2 linked regions of the Sus scrofa genome follow. The protein of the gene in region 1 interacts with the protein of each later gene in a biochemical or structural test. Links are inferred from orthologs where the notes say so. Each region holds a gene or a part of one and is shown on either strand. Other genes may lie near its edges.

What was found.
Region 2: of the proteins of CDC7 (region 1) and MCM2, one has a biochemical effect on the other in vitro, tested with the Homo sapiens proteins (8 studies listed by BioGRID). The link is inferred for Sus scrofa from reciprocal best matches to the Homo sapiens genes CDC7 and MCM2.

What each region holds. Positions count from the first base shown.
Region 1 is NC_010446.5:125,456,560-125,460,834, forward strand, and holds the start of CDC7 (cell division cycle 7-related protein kinase), read right to left. Parts: upstream 2,801-4,275; 5' UTR 2,677-2,800; exon of another isoform or gene 2,110-2,676; intron 2,021-2,109; 5' UTR 1,941-2,020; coding exon 1,826-1,940; intron 999-1,825; exon of another isoform or gene 1-998. UniProt on the Homo sapiens protein: Kinase involved in initiation of DNA replication. Phosphorylates critical substrates that regulate the G1/S phase transition and initiation of DNA replication, such as MCM proteins and CLASPIN.
Region 2 is NC_010455.5:72,629,878-72,632,074, forward strand, and holds the end of MCM2 (DNA replication licensing factor MCM2), read right to left. Parts: intron 2,081-2,197; coding exon 1,898-2,080; intron 1,802-1,897; coding exon 1,646-1,801; intron 1,258-1,645; coding exon 1,147-1,257; 3' UTR 501-1,146; downstream 1-500. UniProt on the Homo sapiens protein: Acts as a component of the MCM2-7 complex (MCM complex) which is the replicative helicase essential for 'once per cell cycle' DNA replication initiation and elongation in eukaryotic cells.

The DNA.
Region 1 (4,275 bases):
AAGCCATAGAACCACCTCCTTTCTCGCCCCTCTCTGACTTCACCCCCCTCTCCTGCCGTCCTGCAGCTCCGTGAGCAGCTGGCCCTCTCTGAGTGCTGGGCACACTCCAGCTTAAGGTCTTCAAACTCGCTGATTCCTCTGCCTGGGACGCTCGGCCCCAGACACATGCACGGGCAGTTAACCCCGTCAAGTCGGAGCCCAAATGTTACCACCCCAAACCTCCTCGGACTAAAATCACAATTTTCTTCCCCAAAATGTCTTGGCACTCCTTCCCTTTGCATTGTCTTCACAGCACTAATTATGTTTGAACACACTATTTAATTTTTATTTTCTATCTCTACTACGACTTGAGGGCATTGATTTTTGTGCATCGTGAACTGATGTGTTACCAGCACCCAGGAAGCTGCCTGCACTAACAGACATTTAAGAAATATTCACCATACGAATGAAATGGTTTCAATTTCTTACCAAGCAGTAAACTGACACTCTAGAAATATATGTCATGCTTATTCTGGGGCTTCATGTACGGCCTAAAATCAGGTCTCCTGTAACAAGGGAGATCATACCATTTAGCCCAAATTGGGACACTCTGAGAATGAAAGGGGGCGCTAAGAATTACACTGTGACAACAGGCATAAACTAGACCCGTCTCGGGCAAACCAGAACACTACCTGTAACCCGTCTTAGAAGTGTGGGCCAAGGGCATCCAGATAGCACCCCGCAAGCAAGCCTTCTACTCAACAGTATGGAGGAGACACTCAGTGCACACAGAGTTTATACCTCATTCTTTCAACTCAAAAGGTTTTATCACTTATTAAACTTGGCATACGGCAGATACTTCAAAAAAAAAAAAAGTTTGCTGAGAAAAGGAAAGAATAAACATTTGATTTAATACTATGCCAGATACTTTGTTCACTGCAGTGGGTTTTTTTCCCCTTCTGTTTTTAGGGCTGCACCACAGCATATGGAAGTTCCCAGGCTCCGGGTTGAATCAGAACTGCAGCTGCCGGCCTACACCACAGCCACAGCAACGCCAGATCCTTAACCCACTGAGCGAGGCCAGGGATTAAACCCTCGTCCTCATGGATACTAGCTGGTTCGTTACTGCTGAGCCAGGTCGGGAACTCCCAAAAATAATATTTTTGAACAAGTACTAAATAACGCTTAAGACAAAGATGGAAAAAAAGACTCAGCTACATTTAGGAAAAAAGAAATACAACCAACAACCAACTGGAACCCCTATTTAACCAATATTTATTAAATGCCTGCCTTGTCCCAGGCACTGTGCTAGAGCAGGAATAAAGACGCACATTACAGAATGCAAACTCAGGCACTGTTTGACCCTCTCTCTCATTTCAAGGTCAGGCTAAGTGGCAAATAAAACTTCATGATGTACACTGAGATACAGTCCCTAATTATCACTGCAAACATTTCATTTACTTTTGTCAGTGAATACTGCTGCTGCATACTTAAACCAAAATCCCACCAACGTCAATTGCTAAATCCAAGCTTAATGCAATATAGTGGTAGAAATTCTAGAAGAGAAATTCCCGTCGAGTATCAACAAACTTTGTGTTCTTTGACAACCAGGAATATTTAGACTAGCAACTTCATCTGTAAAATGGTATGGTTAGACGACAATCCTCCCAAAATGCAATCCAATTCCCAAACTAGACCTTAGAAAGTTTTACTGATTCATAAACTGCTCCTATTTAAATACACAAGTCACTTGAAATTTCAGGAAGTGTTCTGGGCCTTGTGTTTGTTTTTTAATAATAGAAATTACAGAATTGTTGCCTGTACATCTTTGGAAATAAACACATACCTGGTAGTTTAAAATTCTGCTCATGTTTTTTTAATGAGCCATCCGCCTGAAAGCGGCCATGCAGAGGAGAAAAAGCCATTGGTTCATCCATCTGAACCCCCAGAGACGCCTCCATCACAAAGCAAGTGGGGTGCAAAATGCCAGCTAAGGGGTCATGTCCACAGGGGGAGCAAAGCAGCTGTGAAAATCAGAATTCTGGAGCAGGTGAGAAGTTTATATCACTCAGTGAACTAAACACTAAAAAGTGCTACTGTCCCCCAAGGGGCAAACATTTAAAAACGCACCGTAGGTCAAAATTCCCCAAGGAAGGGGAAACTTGAGCCATTTCTAAGGATTCCATTGGCTTTACTTTCACATCGCAGAAAAAACCAGCAGGGGGCCGAAGGGAAAACCGCCCGGCGACGGTGGGACGGGGGCGCCGGGGGCTGCAGAGGCTGCGACCCGGGTCGGGGAAGCCTTAGTGGGGACAGCGGTTCGAGCCGAGGGAGAGGCTGGCAGAGGAGAGCGCCCGACCACTGAGAGGGGGCGCCGGGGGTCCGTCCAAGGCCCCACGCAAGTTGGTGGAGAACTGACACGACCTTGCTCGCGAGCGCCCGGCGGGGAAGCGGGCATGAATGGGATCCTTCCGGCAGCGCGGGTCGCGCGCTGCGCGGGGGGAGACCCGGTGCCCGCAAACCCGAGACCGCACGGGACGCTGAGTGCGCAGGCGCACGACTTTCCCGCCGCAGGTCAAAGGGGTCCGAAAAGTCGGGGGGGGGGCACTGCGCTGCGACAAAATGGAAGTCACGATCCAGAACTCGTTTCTAATCCCTCACGAGCCCGCGCCATGGGACAAACCGTCGGAAACTCACGGTTTAAAGGAATACGACTTCCGTGGCTCCCCAGAAGCCTAGGTTGCCGCTTCCAAGAGCGCCCACCTAGCCAGCCGGCCAACCGCGCCTGCGCAGCGCTTCCCGCCTCGCCGCCTCGAGTCGCACATGCGCAGTGTGAAGCCGGCGCGCCGCGGTTTCTGCGCCGAGCGCCTGCGCAGGGGGTGGGTTCCTGCCCCAAGGCGGAGGCTGGTCCAGGAACGGTTGCTGATGGAGAGCCGGGGAGTGATCCTTCGCTGGAAAACGGTGACCCCTAAGGTTAAGGATCTAACAGCACTCGGAGGAAAGAGAGTAAGTCAGAGACAGCAGAGTCTCATTCTCACCTAGAGAGACTTTGGACCCTCCGGATAAAAGACGTTCACTTTCTCGACTCCCAGCTTTCACTTCTTTTGGTGGAATGCCCCCACCTGTCCGTTCAAAACAAACAAACCAACAAACAAAGGCAATTGCTAGTTGTTTGTGGCTGTATTCAAAGAAACAAGCCCAGTGACATTCTCACTGCCACTTGGTCAGTCAGCATATATTTGAGCCCTTGGCTCTGAGGCTGGCTTCGAGAGGCTGGGGTTACAGCGGAGAAGACGCCCTAGAAAACCCCGCCGTCCCTTTATGAAGCCAAGTTCCAGTGAGACAGTGACAATAAATAAATAAATGAACAACATTCTTCTAGATGTTGATAAACGCTCCGAAGGGAATAAAGTGGAAGGACGCGATCGTGACAGAAGGAGGCATCGTGTTGGGAGCCAAATGGGAAAGAGACTAGTTGGCCAAGGGTAGATCAAGTGCAAGGGTAGGATATCAGCTTAGTAAGTTGGGGGGAGGGAGTTTCACAGAACACCAGCATCAGGCAGGGCCACTCTGTGACCTCGATATGATGGATCAAGACAGAAATAAGGTCATTCTGTAATCTTGTCTAGATATAGACCAAATGTAAACATTTTGTCAAGCCACAAAAATGAGCAAACATTTTCTTCTCCTGGCTAATGGGAGCGACTGCTGCTTCTTTACTAATTAAAATTTTAGCCTCTGTAAACACTCAGCCATTCTAGATAGTACTTATTAAAATACACAATTATAGATTTACTCCTGCCTTCCTACAGCTCCCAATAAGTCCCTCTTCCTTGAACCCATCCCTAAATCATGTAACACAAACCCAGATTTCTAACACCCTCTTACTGAGATGCTATATGGTTGTCCCTGGTGTGCATTCTCACTGAAACCTAACTTGTTCAATTGCGGTTCCTCCTGCTCTTTAGCTGGAGGGCATTGACAGTACTCAAGTCCAAGGTGTCTACTAGATAGCTAAGTGATAATGTCAAGTGAACAGGTCTGGAATAGAGTCTAGGCTAGAGACATAAATTTGGCAGTTATGAGTTTATGCATGAAACTTAAAACTTTGGGACTAGATGCTATTATCAAATCAAAGATTATAGATAGAGAACGGGGCTATGGGTATCCCCACTCTTTCAGAGTTGGGCAGAGGAAGAAGAAGAGCCAGCGAGAGACTGGGAAGGAGTGACCTGTGAGGTAAGAAGGTGATGCCATAGTGATCAAGAGGAGAAAGTTTTGCAGTTGGAAGGAAGG
Region 2 (2,197 bases), on another chromosome or scaffold:
TCACCCCAGTGTCCTTAGCTGGCTCACAAGTAGGCACTCAAGCTTCCAACAGCAGTTGCCACTCTGCTCTCAGCAGGCTGATCGATCACCCAGCCCCATGGGGACTACAACTTGGCTGTCTAGATTCAAAGTTACCTGTGAAACTGTTTCCCTCTTCATTAAAAGGAAGCTCTCCATTGTCCCTGGACCTCAACCTAGGTCTCCAGCCACAAGCTTCCAGGGAGAGGCCAGTGCAGTGCCAGAAAGAGCAGGGCTGTTCCCCAAGGCCCAGTCACCTCCAGGCCCTCTGGGTGCACCAGTATGTGTGAGCCCCCGACTCCAGATAGACACACAGACAGCAACTGCCAACTGAACTCCCCAGGAAGACCCACACCCACAGACAAAACCACTCTTCCAGGCTGACCTACACCTGCAGAAAACCAGAGGCAGGAGACAGGGCAAAAAGGGAAGTGCAGGGAGGCCTGAGGCACAATGCCAAAGATGTAAAGTTGAGACCAGTATTCAGATTTTACTCCATTTTATTAAAAACTAAAACTACAGGAAGGAGAAGTGAATGTACAAACAAGAGCATGGGGAAGTGGCCAGGCAGGAGGACAGACTACCCCACACAGGGGCCTTGCTGGGATCACCCCCACCACGAGTCATCATCCCTGACCCCAACCAACCTTCCCTCTGGCAGAAGCCAAGGTTGCAGGGCTATGTGACCAGTCAGGGTCCCCTCTGTGAAGAACCCAAATGCTGCCTCTACTCAGGAAAGCCTAGAGAACCGCAGGACCCAGTTCAGAACACACAGCAAGTAAAGTGACCTCGCTCTTCGTTCAGGCAATGGCAGCACAGGCAGCAGGACAGAGACATCATGCCAAGATTGCCTCATGAACCCCATCTCCCAGAACAGACCCTGGGTGTCCTGAACACATGCCACACCACCCCACAGAAGGAGGTTGGTGGTGGGCCACTGGCGGGCAGCTGAAAAAGCAGCTCTGGGAAAGGTGGTAACCCAGATGGCAAGAGCAGAGGAAATGAAATCACCAAGCAGGACTCGAGAGTGAGGAAACATGCAGCTGCAGGCCAGCCACACCACCTTCCCTCTAGGACTGGCTTGGTTTCCTGAGCAGACCTGCCAGCATCACACAAAAACCCCGTTGCTCAGAACTGCTGAAGGATCACCTTCCGCTTCAGATCATGGCTGAACTTGTTCATCCTGAAGAGCTCACTGTCGTAAAAGGCAGACAGATTGTGGATGTTGATCTGACGAGCCTGAAAAGAGGGGTGTGCAGTGAGCCAGGAGGACTTGCTGCCCAGCCATGGGTGGCAGGGGCTCCGTCTCCATCACGGGGAGGGTAAACAAGGCCAAGTAAGTGGCTGGAACTGGACACGGGGCTTGAAAGCTTAGTGTGGACAGCTGCCTGTGAACTTGGACAGGGGTGTGGCTGCCCTGTGCCCGGGCCCTGCAGAACGGGTGACAGTAACAGGACACCCAGTGACTGGCTGCAGGCAAGGTCGCAGTGTGCAGAACCAGGCTCAGCACAGCACACACATCCGTGAAGCGGCCCTCAGCCCTGCCTGGCCACTAAGCACAGAGGATGCTCTGCCCAGGTGACCTGCAGCCCCAGGCCGCCCAAGCTCCCTTCTGGCCACACCCTACCTTGTCCACCAAGTCCTTCTCGGGCACTTCAATAGTGTCCTGCTGGGCCCCAAAGCGGCTGCGCTGATAAGCCACCTGCTCAGCCACCAGCTGCTTCAGGATGAAGAGCAATAGCTCATTGTTGTCCCGCCGGAAGGACAGGTAGCGGGCGAAGGTCTGTGGAGAGAGGTGGAGTCAGCCAGCCCACAAGCACTCAAGGCCGCTCCAAGTAAGATTGGGTCCGGCCCCGCCCCCATGCCGTGGCGCGCCCACCTTCCGCATACTGCGCATGACGCTGAACTTCTGTGTATCCACGAAGCTCTCCAGCATCACGCGGATGGCCATGTTGACATCGTCCTCCATCACGTAGTCCCGCAGGTGGATGCGCGCGTGGGCCTCAGCCATGCGGATCATGGACTCAATGTGCCGCACTGTGATGGGGATGCTGCCTGTGGCCTGCAGAGAGGGTACCTCAGGTCTCCCCACGGAGGCACCCCAACGGAAGGGGCAGTGCTGACGCCCCATCAGGGGCTCATCGGACTGAGGGGCAGCCCCACCCTGGGCCGGGTGAGA